Caenorhabditis elegans: one gene and its partners. The protein of the gene in region 1 interacts with the protein of each later gene in a pairwise test. Each region holds a gene or a part of one and is shown in the gene's direction. Other genes may lie near its edges. The genes, in order: ifbp-1, klp-7 and atf-2.

Evidence for each region.
Region 2: the proteins of ifbp-1 (region 1) and klp-7 interact in a two-hybrid assay, tested with the Caenorhabditis elegans proteins (2 studies listed by BioGRID).
Region 3: the proteins of ifbp-1 (region 1) and atf-2 interact in a two-hybrid assay, tested with the Caenorhabditis elegans proteins (2 studies listed by BioGRID).

The regions. Positions count from the first base shown.
Region 1 is NC_003283.11:13,369,487-13,374,933, reverse strand, and holds ifbp-1 (Interferon regulatory factor 2-binding protein 1 & 2 zinc finger domain-containing protein), read left to right. Parts: upstream 1-1,913; 5' UTR 1,914-2,035; coding exon 2,036-2,367; intron 2,368-2,705; coding exon 2,706-2,943; intron 2,944-2,992; coding exon 2,993-3,209; intron 3,210-3,564; coding exon 3,565-3,986; intron 3,987-4,081; coding exon 4,082-4,162; intron 4,163-4,297; coding exon 4,298-4,381; 3' UTR 4,382-4,839; downstream 4,840-5,447. Other genes in the region: srx-125 (7TM GPCR serpentine receptor class x (Srx) domain-containing protein), read right to left, coding at 4,944-5,073, 5,127-5,257.
Region 2 is NC_003281.10:10,804,302-10,811,603, forward strand, and holds klp-7 (Kinesin-like protein), read left to right. Parts: upstream 1-1,623; 5' UTR 1,624-1,628; coding exon 1,629-1,797; intron 1,798-3,180; exon of another isoform or gene 3,181-3,201; intron 3,202-3,736; exon of another isoform or gene 3,737-3,881; intron 3,882-4,039; coding exon 4,040-4,158; intron 4,159-4,298; coding exon 4,299-4,515; intron 4,516-4,563; coding exon 4,564-5,221; intron 5,222-5,271; coding exon 5,272-5,733; intron 5,734-5,783; coding exon 5,784-6,095; intron 6,096-6,142; coding exon 6,143-6,449; 3' UTR 6,450-6,698; downstream 6,699-7,302.
Region 3 is NC_003280.10:8,749,890-8,754,454, forward strand, and holds atf-2 (Transcription factor atf-2), read left to right. Parts: upstream 1-2,096; coding exon 2,097-2,227; intron 2,228-2,301; coding exon 2,302-2,677; intron 2,678-2,907; coding exon 2,908-3,130; intron 3,131-3,212; coding exon 3,213-3,469; intron 3,470-3,542; coding exon 3,543-3,641; intron 3,642-3,729; coding exon 3,730-3,849; 3' UTR 3,850-4,044; downstream 4,045-4,565. Other genes in the region: K08F8.7 (MARVEL domain-containing protein), read right to left, coding at 4,272-4,329, 4,385-4,565. UniProt on the Caenorhabditis elegans protein: Acts as a transcription factor that recognizes and binds to the sequence 5'-[GA]TTA[CT]GTAA[CT]-3', a sequence present in many promoters.

The DNA.
Region 1 (5,447 bases):
TCTATTTGTTCTACCTACTTACCTGGTAACGAACCTTTTTTCCGCACAATTCCTCTTGGTCATACCACCAAGGTCAATCCTCGTTTTTCCTTCCGCGAGCGGCGATCATCCTTCCGCTCCCGACAGGGTTGACCTCTGCGCGTCTGCGTCTTTCATCCCATTTTTCCTCGCCCGTTCTTTTCTGAGGGAGAGAGGGAGGGAGAGAGAGAGGGAGAGAGAGAGAGGGAGAGAGAGAGAGAGAAAAGACCTTCAATCAGTTTCTGTAGTAGTCCTTCTCCTTGGGATACTGAATACTAGGTCACCATTTCAATCTCTTTTTTTTCTATTTTTTGTGTTTTTTTCTTTCTCTACCCTCTTTATTGTTCTTGTTTTCTGACCGTCACTTCGCTTTGCACCCCGTTTTTGAATTTTAAACTCCTGCTAAAAGTTATAAATACGAATGTGGGAAGATCGGCTCTTTTTGTTTGGATACTGATGAAAAGTCCTATCAGCTTAAAATCATGAATAGTTTAACAGCACCTTCTCAAGCTTGAAAAAAAGTAAATGTGCAAATGCTCTGCTCAAAGCCCCGAGTTGAAACAAAGTTGTTTACAAAATTATCTTGGTTTAGGTTTTTTGTTCAAAATATCAGTAGTGCAATTACACATTGTTTATTCTACATTTTTAGATCCATAATTTTCTAAAACAATATGATAATTCTTTCTGAATCATCTTTTTTTTCAGTTAAAGGCACTTATCGAGAATTCTTCTTCCCCCCATTTATTTTGCATATCTATTGTGCCAACATGAAATTTGCATTTCTTCCCATTTCTCTTCATTTTCCTTTCATCCAAACATCCACGTTTTCTTCCCCATTGTGCAACGTGGTGCACCATGTCACAGAGAGAGATCTAATCTCCATATTTCTTTCATATAGTTTTTCTTGAGCTTTCAGTATCAATGAACTATGCTCCAAATAAATATTGGTCGGCCTAGCACATCTATGGATGGCCTTATCGGAAGGTTTCTCTCACTTATTCTCATGACTCGCCAATTCGACTTTCACTTGTGTTTCTATCTTTTCAAAATGAAATCACACACCTCTACTTTGGTCTTCGTACCGCTTATCAGTTGTTGGGAAGGGTTTTTCTCCAATAAGGAGGGGTTTAGTGACCTTTCAAGCCTTGTTGACAATTAGCCATTATAGCGTCTAGGAAAATCTAGAACTGATAACAAATAACAAAACATCTAAAATCTAGAAACAGGAACATGTTGATCTGAAAATTGAGCAAATTGATGTTTTGTGCAACTGTGATAAGTCAGAAATTTTGATCACTTTTGATAATAGTTATTCCCCCAACAAAACATTTGAAGGTCTCAAAAACAGAGGGAGTCTCCTCATTTTTGCATTTTCGGAGCCAATTTTGAGTTGCCTTCTTCCATTCCAATTCCTTTATTAAGATGCAGATCCGATGCTAATGATATGCACTATCCATACGTCTTGTGGAATATGAATGAGGAGAGGTCGAAGACTCGGAACCCACCTCTTTTTCTTTTTATTTTTTCTCCTGCAGCTTTTCTTTGCCAATTCTTTGTACACAACTATAGTAATACAATGTGCTCAATGCGTCACTCAGTGCTTCGCCCCTTACTGTCTCCTTCTATTCGTCGATTATTCATAGAGTTCTTCGTCATCCAAAAAAAGTGTTACACATCGCTGTAATAGTTCGGACCCACGCATGCTCATGGTTTTGATATTTTCCATTGTTTATTTGAAATAATACAAAAAAATATTCGATTACCCTAATAGTTTACCAAGTCATGGAACAACCCTGTTTGTGTGCAACCAGAGCATCAGCGTTCTGTTATCAGCTGCCGGCTTTTCTTCTTTTATCACTAAAAAACCATGCCTAGTTTTTTCACCTCTCGACCCTATTCGTCTCGGTCAGGAATCTTTCTTATCTCTAGAATTTCTCCCTCTCTTCCATCACGAACTTGAAACGCGCCATTCCTATTCCTCTACCCCATCATTCTTGCAATCATTCCTCTCGTGGAAATGGGCTCGTTCGCTGAGTCGGCTGCTCTTCTGCAGGCATCGATGTCTCTTTCTCCAACACCTTCTATAATTAACAACAATAATACTGTCGATTATTCTCTATCACTCCAGATGCTCGCGGCTCCGAACGCCGTCTCATTGGCCTCTGTCAACGGTTCTGCTTCACTTCTAACTGCAACAACTGCTGGAATGAAGGCGAATAATAATTCAAATGAGAAATTACCAAGACAACAATGTTACCTGTGTGATTTGCCACGCTGGCCGTGGGCAATCATAAATGATTATATTGAGCCAGTTTGCAGAGGATGCGTCAATTATGAAGGATCAGACAGGTTTGTTTGGAAATAATGATGATGAAAATTCCTTTCGATTTTAAAATTTTCCAAAGTGAAAGTCACAAGTTTTCTTATATTGATACAGGACATGAAAATTTGACACCCTTTTTCTTATAAGACTGCAAGCTAAAAGTTTGTTCTGTAATAGATTTCCTAAAGTTTTTAAAGAATTTTTTTTTTGAAAAAAATTAGAAAAAGAACATATTTTTTTGACGATTTTTCTGCCGAAATTTTTTATAAATTGCAGGACTTCACGATCTTATAGTTTTAAAAAGGTTTCAAGACCAATTGAACTTTTTTTGTTTTTTGTCACCAAATATCTTTTTCTGTTTCAGAATTGAACTCGTACTTGAAGAAACACGCCAACAAAAGAAACTCCAAGGAGTTGGAATCAGTGATCCACAGAATGCAAAGACATCCCTCCGAGATATTACACTTACACAACAACAACCCCTTCAAACATTACCAGTCACTTCTGCTAATGGAATCGGAAGGATAAGCCCACAAAGGACACCTCAGCCAACGGTACTTCCCACGTCCCCATTCCATGTGCCAACTATGAACAACTTGGAGGTAAACATATAAAATTGAAAACTGCAATAGTTTACAAATTTATTTTCAGCAAGTTCTGACCCATCAACGACTTCTGCAAATGACACAAGCCAATCCTCGGGCGGTTGACGATCTTATTCAACAGTCTCTTCGAAGCTTGGGCCCAAATTCTCATCTCTTGGCTCCATTCATGATGAGCATGCTTCCAAGCACAACTTATTCAAATCCAAGAAAACGTGAATCTGACGAAGAGCAGAAGCCTGAAATATATGGAAAAGTGCAGAGAGGTATGTCAGTTAGAATTTAAAATTGACATCGTCCCAAAAAACCGGTTGTTGCGTAAAGTAGTAGTGCCCCCTTCTCTCTCTCCGATTAGCCCGTGTATCGTCTCTCTGTCACCCTCTCGAATTGCGTAATACCGATAGACCCGACAGAAAACCAGCCGAATTTAGAAGAATTAGAAGAAAAGAGTAGCGAGTTGAATGAGTGACCTCGAGAGAAATAAAGGGCTAGATATGGGGTCAACACTTTGAAAACGGAACCGGTTTTAGAGGATGGTAGTGTAGTTGGTTGTGGCGTCGTTGTCGGCGCCTGGCACCCAGGGTCATCACCCCCTCATCATCATCATCTTCTATTTTTCAGGCGATGCCCAAACGACAACTGCCTCGCCAACCTCAACTCATTCACCAGACCATCCGGGAGTTAAGGATCGGAGAGGGATCGCCCCAATTGAGAGAGTTTTGAGATGTACACTGTGCAATGAACGTCTAGAAGACACCCACTTTGTACAATGCCCAACAGTCAGCATTCACAAGTTTTGCTTCCCATGCTCGCGGAGCAGCATCAAGGATCAATGCAAGAGCAGTGATATGTACTGCCCATCAGGCGATAAATGTCCATTAGTCGGATCAGCAATGCCATGGGCATTCATGCAAGGAGAAATTGCACAAATCCTCGGTGACGAGTATGACGAGTTCAAGAGAACCCGAGAAGCTCACGGTCTTGCTCCACCGATGGGTGCCAACGCAGCGACTCTCGCCGCGGCAGCCGCGGCAGCTGCACAGGTATGCCCTTATCAGATTGTGTGAAACTAATTTGTTTGTCCAATTTTGTTATTTATGTTTGGAACTAAATCACCCGCATTTTGCATGGTTTTCAGTTGAGACGGAGACAAAATGCTCAAAGAGCCCACCCTCATCGCACTCTTACACGATCCACAATTAACACTTCTACCTCATGTGTAAGTGATTACTAACATATGACATTGACTAGCATGCAAAAAATTGATTATCGGATTCAAATAAATATGTTGCATGCCCCTAACATCTATTATTTAAACTGATTTTTTTCATTTTCTGAATGAATTAATTTTCAGAACGGCGCCAATCAAACATCTCCAGCCTCCACAACAACTTCTGCGGCTTCTTCCACATCTGCCGCCACGTCACCACAAAACTGATAACCTGTGACGTCACGGAGCACATTAGGCACAAATATTTTTTCTTTCAATCTCTCTTTTTTCTCAGTCCCACTGAAACCGTTCAAAGCTGCACTCAATGCTTTTGTCTGCTTCACCACGATCTCTACTTTTTCCCCCTTTCCAAGTTTTCTTTCTCTCTCTCTCTCTTCGGTCCCAACTACGGTGTGATTTCAAGGGACATTTGGTAATAAATCTTGAGATTTTTTTCCTTTCTCATTTCCCTTTTCCTCGATTACGCTTTTCACTGCTTTTGGGATTTACGGTTTCTTTTCTTTTTTCAGTCCAAAAACTTTGTAATGTTCGTACCTTATCCCCAGTCCATTCTCCCCTGGAACATTGAAAATTCAACTGCCAAACAAATCAAAAAACAACAATCCCACCAAAGCTTTCAGTTTATTTTTTCATTAATTGAATAAAGCTTTGATCAGAAAACTTAAGATATAGTTTGAGAAATTGCAAATTTTCACATATTCTCTCACGAATTCCAAGAATTCAATGTGAAAACTCGGTATAAATTCTACAAAACTTCGAATGATTAGAATTAATCAGAAGGATGGAAGGAAGATATTTTAGATCTGTTCACAAAAATAGTTCCAGTCCTCGATTTGGGCTTCAACAATCTGCGACACCATTGCGGATGTATCTCAGTATGGAAATATAGCATGACGCTTCTGTAAATGTTTCCGGAAACTCTTATCAACACGTTCGACCAACGTCCACTCACCCGTCCAGCGCATGAATCGATAGAAAACTGACGGACAGAAAAATGAACTGATACCAAATTGCTGAATTGAGTTTGAAGAGTATTGTGCAATTGATCATGTCGATCAAGTGAAGTGTGTCTTGCAGCACACTCTGAAATATGGAAAAAGGAGATTCCGGTAAAAGTATTCATGTGAAGATGAAAATTGTTTATGTATTTGTTCTCGAGAATAAACAAAAGTTGATAAAGATAACAACGGTCAAGAGTTCACAAATTTCATCAATTTGCAGAAAATCGTGTCATGAAACAAGCAAAGCAGAGAAGTGTGACGAAATTTTGAAC
Region 2 (7,302 bases), on another chromosome or scaffold:
ACGAGACCCAGCGTTTAGGGGTGGTGCAACCTTATTACGGGAGCATAATATTCTGAGAATGCGTATTGGGCAACATATTTGACGAGCAAAATAAATTATAACTATATCTCGTAGCGAAAACTACAGTAATTCTTTAAATGACTACTGTAGTGTCGATTTACGGGGTCAATTTTTGAAATTAATTGCATAAATCATTTGTTCATCTATAGAATATTAAAGTTAAGCAAAAAAAAAGAAAAAAGTTATACGACGAAACGAAGAAATTCATTTTAAAAATCAAGCCCGTAAATCGAGCTACAGTAGTCATCTAAAGAATTACTGTAGTTTTCGCTACGAGATATTTTGCGCGTCAAATATGTTGTGCAATACGCATTATTAGAATTTTGTGTTCTAATGTAATATATTCAGATCGAAAGAGACAAATTTATTTCAAATTCTGCAAGTACTCTTTTAAAAATTCGAAAATCATCACTGTAAAAATGTGTGGAGCGAAGTTTTTTATTTTTTGATGGGAATTACACACACACAAACCGCCACCGGCAAACATAAGTCAATCGGATTAAACAGATTTAAATTGTAAATGGTAGAATTTCAAACGAAAAAATTGCCGGAAACCTAAAAAAAAAATTCCAGAACATGGGGGGAAACTTTGGTCTCATAATCAGCAAGAAAAGTGATAAGGGATCACTTTCTTTAATGGGACGCCGCCGCCGGCCAGTGGAAAAGGTTAAAAATGCAATGTGACAAAAAAATGATGCTGATTTTTCATTTTTATGGTATGTTTATTACAGACTTTGTAACTCTGAAAAAGGGCGTTACATATAGATATTTTGATTTCTTTCTTTGCTGGAAAATAAAATTAAAAGTAAGGTCTCGGCGCGCGAATTGTATTTTTTTCTTTTGCCTTTCAATGTGGAATAGTTTTTGCTTCAAAAAATTCAAAAAAAAACGTCTGAAATTCAAAAAGAATCATTAAAAAAACGATAAAATCGATAAAATCCTTCCAAAAAAGAACTACCAATCAGCGATTCGTTACGCCCAAATCTCAACCAATCAGACGGAATGGGCGGAGTTAAAGAATGCTGATTGGGTGGAAAGTAGGCGGAGTGAATCGCTGATTGGTCTTGCAGTTCTCATTTTATCTGGAGGGAATTCTCAAATGAGAACTGCGACCAATCAGCGACTTCGAACTCCGTACACTCCATCGTTGATTGGTCGCATTTCTCCGTGTTTTTTAATTGAATTTTTCTTGTTTTTTTGTGGATTTTTTAAGCCAAAATGGATAAAAAATAAAAAGAAAAAAGAAAAACCCAAAAAAAAAGTATTTTTTTTAATTGATAAAAATATATAAAAGCTGATTTTTTCAAAAATTCAAAAGTCCTGGAAAATCATATGGAGTCATTCTTTTTTATTTCCCACTCCATCGTTGATTGGTCGCATTTCTCCGTGTTTTTTAATTGAATTTTTCTTGTTTTTTGTTGTGGATTTTTTAAGCCAAAATGGATAAAAAATAAAAAGAAAAAAGAAAAAACCCGTGGCATCATAAATTTCGCATTGTCACGTGGCATTGTTTATTTTCCGTTCGGACAAAAAATAATGAAAAAAATATTATTTCCAATTCGATCCCGATGAAAAGTTGCAGAAGTTGTAAGGAAAATCCTGAAGTGCAGAGAAAACGAGCCGAGAAGCCGTGGCGACGGGCTCCGAAGGCCAAATCAGAAGTCGAAAAGCATGGAATCGGTCCACCGGACAGTGATTCAGGGGAGGAAATATCATTTCCTTGGTATAATGTGACCGGTAAGTGAGTCATCTCGACTTTTTCGGAAATAAGCTGAGAGGCTTATATTTCTTTTTGTCGCATTTCATGAACTTTCAGCCAGTTTCAGTTATTACTCAGATGTCAAACTTTTTCGTTTTTTTGAACTCGAAAATACGATCCCGACGCGACAATTTTTGTAATATGCAAAAAGGCGTGCGCCTTTGAAGAGTACTGTAACTTCCTAACTTCCACCACGATTTTCATCGATTATTCATGGATTGTCTCCCGTTTCCGCAATTTTTAAATGTGTTTTATTTTGTTTAAAAAAAATAGCGTCTTGTGCAACATATTTGACGCACAAAATATCTCTTAAGTTAGCGAAAACTACAGTAATTCTAATTCTTTTTTTTCCATTTTCATTCGTTTCTTCGCATAATTTTCTCATTTTTATTTTTATTTTAATATTTTAGCGATAGTAAAGTAAAATTTTAATCCATCCGAGCCCGTAAATCGACTACAGTAGTCATTTATAAAGTTACTGTAGCTTTCGTTACAAGATATTTTGCGCGTCAAATATGTTGTGTGAGACGCATTATCATAATTCTGTGTTGTAGTAATAGTTTTAGTAATAGTTTTTCGTCAAAAAATGTTCTTGAAAAGTAAATGAAAACTGAAAATTCCGCTTTGCAGTTAGAGTTACTATTTAAAGGCGCATACACAATTTTGCATTCAACCAAAATTTTTCGTGTCGAGACCTGGTATCGTACGTTTCCCAAGTGTTTATGTGCAAAGGTTACCCATCATAATCCTTTTTTGCTCCGTCTTTTTGCACCACACCCAAAAAAAGCAAGAAAGAGCTCATAACCATAGAGCAATGTCTCTCTGTCTGTCTTTCTTTGTGAGCTTTTCATGTGTATGTGTCCTATTTAGAAGCACTGCATTTTCTTTCCCTCCTCCACGTCTTCCGGCTCTCTCGGTCCCCCCCCCCCCCCCCCCAACTATTCCCGATTGCGAAACACGAGCTCTTCGGGAACCGAGCCCCCACTTCCAATTCTTCGTGTCCCTCATTTTATTGCCGCATTCCGGCGAGTCTTCTTTAGTTTCAGTCGTTTGAACATTTGTTCTCGAGAAATTCGATAATTTTTATTAGGGAAAAGTAGGTTTCAAATCGAAAACTCGGCTTAAATCGTTGAATTTGAAGGAAAAATTTAATAAATAGTGTCTAAAATTATAGAAAATTATGCAAAGCTTTGACAAAGCTTTGCAAAGGCGAGAAATCAAAAATTGAATTTTTCTAGACTTGTCTAATTGCCTCTGATATGTTTTGACCTACAATTGACCTACGATCTCAGGCGGGCGCGCACGAATTCATATTTTTGTTTCGCGAAGTTTCTCTCATTTTGTTTTTCCTTCGCTATCATTTTAGGTGGTTTTCGGGTTGACTCAGCCGGTTTTTGGCCAGTTTTTTTTGTTTTAAGTTAATTTTTCTTATTTTGTCACAATTTCTTTTTGATTAATGGCAAATAATTATTATAATCTGAACATTTTGCTTTGAAACTCGAAAAAATCTAGAAAAAGAATAATTGTATCGTAGTCGTTTTCTGATTTTTACATGGAATTCAAGTCAATATTCATGTTTTTTAATGAAAAAACATGAATTTTCTCCAAGAAACGATTATTCATTTAAAGGAACATACGTGCCTGCTGAGCTCGTGTCTCGTAGCGAAATTTGTATCGTAGTCGTTTCCGCATTTTTTAGTTTTTAGACCTTTTCAAGAAATTTTCTCTGTTTTTCGCTTCAGAAAAGATCCATTTTCGCGAACATTTCTACCATTTTTTTTACAAAATTATCCTGTTACATCGATTTTGATCGATATCATCAAAATACACTAGTTTTCTCCTCCAAAACCGTCTGTTTTACATTTCTGGAGCCCACGTTTCTGACCGTTTCGCTCCGTAATCCGTTGGAAGAAGCACTCCTTTGTGTGTCCAGACCCACCCGTCCATGCTGTGTCCATCGAGCGGTCGCCTGTCTGCGTTTCTTCACTCCCCTCGCCTATTTCATCCGTTTTCCTCCCTCTACTCCCCCTTCGAACGCAATTTTCGCGCCAATTTCCCAGCAGCAGCAGCGGCAGTACTCGCCATTTCATAACATCTCCCCCGCCACTGACTAATGTTTTCCGATAGTTTATCATTTTCTTTCATGGGATATGAACAATTGTTTCCTTTATTCTTACGCTCTAATTAACTCGAATCCAATTAATTTGTTATTATTTTCAGGTAAAATGCTTGTCGTCGGGATGCATGTGGAAATCAAGCGGAGCGACGGCCGCATCCACGGTGCCGTAATCGCCGAAGTTAAGTCGAACGGCCGGTTTATGGTGGAATGGTATGAGAAGGTGAGTCGCATCCTTCGAGAAGACCATCACTCGTCACAGAATCATGCATTTCGGATGTGATGCCGAACCAAAAATCATGCATTTGGCATTGTGTACTTTCTTTCTTCTCTTTTTTCTCTTGCAATCTTTCACATTTTCAGGGCGAGACAAAAGGAAAGGAATCCTCGTTGGAAGAACTTCTCACGCTGAACCCATCACTCCAAGCACCGAAGCCTACGCCGCCGCCACAGCCTCCTCAAAAAACGCTTCAAGCGTCAACTGCTGTCAACAGACAAAACGGGATCCATGCGCAGAGCATGATACTCGATGACGAGGATACATTCCTCTTGGATCATATCAACATGATTCCGGCTAAAGGTTTGTTGGAGAGTTCTGGTTTAATATGAAACAAAAATTGATTTTCAGGTGCTTCTGCCAACAAACGACCAACGGGAGCTTTCACGCAGCACGTTCCTGTTCGTATGGCTCCTCCATCCGAAAAGCCTCTCCCGACTCGTCGTGCTCCGTCACCGAAGGAGGATGCTGCTCCTGCACCGAAGTCTACTCGTACGACAGCAGCCTTCAAGCCAGATCTTGATAGTACGGCGATCACGGTTCCGAAGCACACTGCAAGGCGCACAGTTGTGGTAGCTCCAGCTCCGGCCCCTGTTCCTGCTCCACCAATCGCCAACATGACATCACAGCGAGCCCCGTCTCCAGTGGCAAGAGTTCCGTCGCCGAAGAACGTACCGCGGTCGTATCCACAACAGGATGTTCAGCCGTCGAATGGGAACTTTGCTTTCGCGGAGATGATTCGCAACTACAGAGCCCAGATCGACTATCGTCCGTTGAGCATGTTCGACGGTGTCAACGAGAATCGGATTTCCGTTTGCGTTCGGAAGCGCCCACTGAACAAGAAGGAGCTGACGAAAGCGGAGGTCGATGTGATCACGATCCCTTCTCGTGACATCACAATTCTCCATCAACCACAAACACGTGTCGACTTGACAAAGTATCTGGACAATCAGAAGTTCCGATTCGATTACTCTTTCGACGAGTACGCCAACAACGAGCTGGTCTATCGGTTGGTTTTTTTAATTTTTCAGTTTTCGTTTTTAAAAATGATATTTTCAGCTTCACTGCAGCACCACTCGTGAAAACCGTCTTCGACAATGGAACTGCGACGTGCTTTGCCTACGGTCAAACAGGATCCGGAAAGACGCACACAATGGGTGGAGATTTCTCCGGAAAGAAGCAGAATGCGTCGATGGGAATCTACGCGTTGACGGCACGAGATGTGTTCCGGATGCTCGAGCAGCCACAGTACCGTCGCAAGGATCTCTCGGTGCACTGTGCGTTCTTCGAGATTTACGGAACGAAGACGTACGACTTGCTCAACGATAAGGCCGAGCTTCGTGTGCTTGAGGATAAGATGCAGAAGGTGCAGGTTGTTGGGCTCAAAGAGGAGCAAGCGCACAATGAGCAGGATGTCTTGGAGCTCATCAACAAAGGAACTCTGGTCAGAACCGCTGGAACCACTTCGGCAAACGCGAACTCGTCGCGTTCTCACGCCATATTCCAGATCATTCTTAGACAGTTAGTTTTTGTTTTTACGTGAAGATTGCTTTAAAATTAATTATTTTCAGAGGCAAAAAGGTGTGGGGCAAGTTCTCGTTGATCGACTTGGCTGGAAACGAGCGAGGACAAGACACGAGAGAATGCGATCGTGACACGCGGAAAGAGGGCGCCAACATCAACACATCGCTGCTCGCACTGAAGGAGTGCATCCGTGGAATGGCTCGCAACAGCTCACATGTCCCGTTCAGACAGTCGAAGCTCACGATGGTTCTCCGAGACAGCTTCATCGGTGAGAAGTCCAGGACAGTGATGATCTCGATGATTTCGCCAGGGATCTCGTCGAGTGATCACACGCTCAACACACTTCGCTACGCGGATCGGTAGGAATTTTATTTATTTTTTGCTAAAAAAAATTCACATTTTTCAGTGTCAAAGAAATGGGAACCGACGGAAGCGGCGAAGCAACCCCAATTCGAGACGAGGAATTGTTCCTGCCCCCATCGGCAGACAAATCGGATGAAGAGTACGATGAGATGGTCGAGAAGCAAGAACATCGTCGAGTAGCGGTCGATCACGTCCGGAACCTGAAAGATATGTCTGAAAAGATCATACGCGAAACGACGATTGTCCTCTCCAACGAGCCGAGTGCTGCCCAGAAAGCCGAATGCCTCGCCAAGCTTGATCAACTTGCGCAGATAGTCTCGAACACCCGTGTCGCCGTGGAAAACGTCTGATTGCTGATTCCCGCGACGATATGCTACCCACTTCATGTACCATGATTATTACTCCCCGCCCCCCTCATTATTCACCATTTTCTATTTATTTTTATCGCATTCCTCCAATATTTTACCGTATTTATTTCATTTAGGGTATGTGAAAATTATTTGACCCTCCCCTTCCATCTTTTTCCCCTCTCGTTGTGAATATTTTACGGGTCCCCATTTTTTCTCGGTTCCGTTTTAAATGAACCATTTTATTCGTTTAATCAGTGTTCAATTTGAAGGTGGCTGTTCCGGAATTCATGCACAATTAAGTCGTTCTCTTGAGGCCCCACGAAAAGGGGAGCAGAACGAAAAGGGGATCTGCAAAAAGGAGATCTGCGAAAAGGGGAGATACGAAAAGGGGAGATACGAAAAAGGGGAGATACGAAAAGGAGATCTGGCACTGTGCCAAACGCTATTTTTCTCGAAGAAAACAATACAACGATGCTCCGATGTTACGCGTCGCGTGTTGTTAAGCGTATCTTCTAGAAGAAAATTTCAAAAATCAACGTGCGTTGCGTGAGAAAAATTGCGTTTTGTGCGTTTGGCACAGTGCCAGCTCCCCTTTTCGTATCTCCCCTTTTCATATCTCCCCTTTTCGCAGATCCCCTTTTTGCAGATCCCCTTTTTGCAGATCCCCTTTTCGTTCTGCTCCCCGTTTCGTGGGGCCTCGTTCTCTTCAAAAAATCGTTGTGATACCCAGCATGCTCCTTTAAACTTGCGTGGGATCCTGGTTTGTTCTGAGTTGATGTTAGGCTGTAATTGCTCGTTCTATAATAACGAGACGTGGTAGTCGGTCTCGACACGACACATTTTAATTAAATGC
Region 3 (4,565 bases), on another chromosome or scaffold:
ACGTAACCTGGAAAACGCTACACCGTCTTTAACTTAAGAAAAAAAAATATAACTAACTCATTTTATTTGATTAAAGTTGTTGATTCAATAATTTTGAAACAGTTTTCATTAATTCACTTTTCAAAGTGGGCAGACTCAAAGAATACCTCTTTTTCATGTGAAAAGCTAAAACTTCACTTGTTCCAATTTAAAAGTTCTAAGAAAATAACAGTTCTTCTTGACAATCCTAGATTCAAGTAAAGATACCTTTATCTAAAATTGAATTTCAATTTTCTCTCCTCTTTTTCCAATTTCATTCACTTTCCTTCCCATAGCCTGCATACTTTCACCGACTCGTTCCCGAACGATATGATCGTGCTAGCCACTCTCTCTTTCTCGTATCGAACTGCGATCTTTCAGTTCCCAACAAGAATACCATCATTTCAACACCTCACTTTCGCAATCAACTACCAAAAGTGCACTCTCACTCTGTTACTCTACCTAACCGTATTATCCGCTCTCCATGTAAAACTACTGAAGTAGACACAGCAAGGGACAGGCACACACTCACTGGTCATCAAAATCATCAAATGATGCAGTGAATTTGGCTGTTCTGGTTTGCAGACAAAAAAGTTTTGGAAGCGGTGCGGGAGGATAGTGGACACTGTTTGTGATTCACTTCTCGTCATTCTCCGAGCCTTACAAACAAACAAAAATAGCTCTCTCTTTTCGCTGACGATTGTCCCCCAACACGGGCGGCGGTTATTTTGGCTCTCGCCACTCTTTTTCAAGGTGCACAATCAAAAACAAACAAGTCCAGCCCGATTTCGCGAATTTGTTCATCTAGTTCAACGCATTTTTTTCATTTTGAATACATTTGCTTGTATCGTTTCCGAGTTTCTTGAACAATTACTTTCAGAATTGAGTATCATTTTTTGTGTTCAGCAGTGAAAAATAACCAAAATTTCTCTATCAGGCTTGCACTCACATTGGTCATATTTTACAGTCCTGACCTAGAGTGCGTTTATGAATTTTTCAAGACTTTTGTTTATCTAAACCTACCAATTTTTTCTTCGTTATCTTTTTCAACTTTATCTTTTAGCCGTATCTCATTATTCACTTTCCACCCAGTAGCTTCATCCTCTTGTCTTCCAATTCTCCGCAAAGTTCACCTACCCTTTTGTACTAGTGACCTGATGCGACGAATTCAACCATTGACCTCCTCCTCCTTCTCACACTTAGACACACATACATCCGTAACCCGAAGCAGCGAAAGTTAAGCATGAAAGCGAAAGGAAAGTGAAAACAATTAGGAAAAGTCGGCATCATCATGGATCGGAGGAGGCGACGCGTTGAAGTCGTTGCGAACGATGAAAAATGATTAGGAGACGGGTCGAAGAAAAAGAGAAGGGACTGCAATGAAGAGAGAAGGGGGCGAAAGTCGGAGGGGATATCCTGTTCTTCGACTGGTTTATTGTAGAGACTGAGAGTGAGAGGATCTACCAAGCATTGTCCGAAACATTGACCATGGCTAACTGGTTTGCAAGGCGCAAATAGGTCAACTGAGGAGAGGCACAACACCGCTTAATTGTTGCTAACTGCACTCTACACCTACCATATGAACACACCTGTACCAGATATACTTTGTTTTCTCACCTTTTTTTAAGTTAGTGATTTTCTGGTTGTCTAGATACTCAGGGATTAGCATTGCGTAAGATCATCTTCACTGAAACCAAAAACTGAATAATTTTTGTATACACATTGGTCAATTAAAATGGCTTACAATTAATTAATAATATCTGGAAACAGTGAACACATTGAACTTCTGATTGTGCTGAATCTCCAAAGATCGTGTCAATTTCAACTCAAAAAGACGTATTTGTCCTTACATCAAATAGGTTGACAGCTTCTTTTAACTCTACTAACTTTCCATTTCAATACACCATGTGTACTAACATTTTGAAGTCAAAATATAAATGTTGTGTCTTAATTCATTTTGAAAGATTTTGGTATTCATATTTCTTTCACCGATGTTCTTTTCTTTCAAATTTCGTACTTCTATATTCTTGATTTTCTTCTTTTGTTTGACTTTTAATCATCTTATTTTTATTTTTCAGATGGACGTCGACTCGGCATCATTGTCACCGTCCTCCAGACTTTCGGTGGTTTGTTCGGCATCCGCCGAGTTCTCATCGAGCTCGTCGGATTCGTCGAACTTTTCAGAAGGATCTCCCCCGGAATCTAGAAGGTTTGAATTTTTAACAGTTTGATGAAACTTTTGAAAGTTTAAATACTTTTCGACATTGATAACTATTTTTCCAGAAATTCCGTAAACGAAAGTGTAATAAAAGATGAACATTACTGGGAAAGGCGACGGAGAAATAACGATGCATCAAGAAGAAGTCGAGAAAAGCGAAGGCAAAACGATCTAGCAATGGAAGAAAAAATAATGTTACTTTCCGCCGAAAACGAACGGTTAAAATCTCAGTTAGGAACGACACCAATTCCACAACCATCAGTAACAGAGCCTCCAACATCTCTGATTATTCCCCAAGTTGCAAAGAATCTTTTCCCAGCGGGTCCAATAGCATCTTTGCAAGCGAGTTCAATGCTTACTGTTCCATTGCTCCAGGCAGCTTCGCATATTCCATCAATGTTGCAGCTTTGTCAACTACAGCCAACAACTATTCAGTCACCGGTAAGTTATTTTATTGAACTTGGAAATATCGAAATTGTGATGATTTAAATAAAATAAATTAACTCGTGGAAAAATATTTACTATTACAAAAACGTCTGAACCGCATATAAAGTTCCATTGTCATTTTTTGGCAACACAACTCAGATTGTCAACAATTTAATGAATACATTGACAGCTGAATGCGTGACCTAGAAAGACAGATGTCCCATAACGTTTTTCCATGTTTGTAGGTCTATGCGAGCACTCAACAACCTGCATCAACGTCAGCATCATCTTTATTCTCTTCATCGTCTTCATCTGCATTTCATCCTTTTCGACCATCAGAAAGTGCTCAGCAGAGTTTTCCATCGAGTAGCGTAATTGTGAAAATTGAACGAAGAAGTCCAGATTCATCAACTGACGTGAATATGCCTCAACCTCAGTTACAGCCTGGATCTAGCGTTATTCAACAAAGTAAGTCGTTGTTTTTGAAAGTAAAGAGCATATTTTCATTTCACTAGTATTAATTGAAACTATAATCTAAAATTTATTTCAGTCGGTCAGCCTGCTCCATCAGGTACGCCTCAACCAGTAATCCAAGCTGTTCAACAAGGACCATCCCTGCTATCTGCTCTTCTTTCACAGCGAAGACCTTCTCCTACAGTACCACAAAGCCGAACGGAACATATTTCGGGGCTAAATTCCCCTCCAAGACATACTGGAAACAAATCAGACTGTGAAAGTGTATCGTCTTCAGCATCTTTCTCTCCATCGCATTCTTCGGAAGATCACTCAAATTATTCGAACAAATCGGTAAGTTTTTTTAAAGGAATTGAAAGAAGACATTTTTAAATACATGTCAAATATTTCAAAAAAAAACTTTCAGCCCCAATATGTGGACAGACGTCGAAGGAACAATGAAGCCGCAAAAAGATGTAGAGCAAATAGACGAGCAGTATTCGAATACAGGTCACGACGAGTTCAGGTAAGTTGAAACTAATTTTAATAGAAAACATAAAATTTTAAAACTTAGATATAAATTTATTGAATCAATTATTACTTAACATTTTCAGCTCTTGGAAGGTGAAAATGAAGATCTTCGTACCCAAATCGAAACGCTAAAAGCAGAAATAGCCCACTTCAAATCAGTTTTGGCTCAAAGAGCATCAGTTGTTACTGCCCTTCACCCTTGATCCCATTCCATTTTCTTATTTTTGACTAATACGGATAGAAAGCCAATTTTCTTCGTCTTCTCGCTAGATGCCCCCCAATCAAAGTCTTTCGCTCTCAAAAAACCCTTCCTCTCTTTCTGCAATACTTCCAATCATTCATGTGCAATACTTTTTAACTTTAAATGTTTCATTAATTGTTTCTAATAAAACCAATGTGTTATTATTTTTGATTTGCTTCCTGTACAAAAAAAGGTGAAACAACAAAAAAAAGTAAAGTCTGCAAACGATTTTTAAAATCCACCCGTCGCTTGCCAGAAAACGGAAACTTTTCAGAATGATATAACTGAATCAGAAAATTGTTTTATTAATGTTTCATATATACAAATTATTATGAGAAAGTGAATTTAAAGTTGAGCATTGATAATTATTTGATTACTTTTCCATTAAACAGAACTTGTTTGCCCTTTTCGTTGATACTCCATGTAAATGTCATGTATACTTCTGAAAGGACATGAAATATAAAATATTTCCTAATTTTATGCAAATCTTGACCCACTTTTCCGTTTCGATGACGGCAACAGACGGTGGCGGAATGTCATAAATTGGCGCCTTTTTTGAATTACGATAAAAATAGAAGGCATTCAGGCCTAGATCCAGAAGTCCAAATACTAGAACCAAAAAGCAAAATACTGAAGCAACTTGGAATGTTCCAGTGGAAACTGATTGATAACATCCGT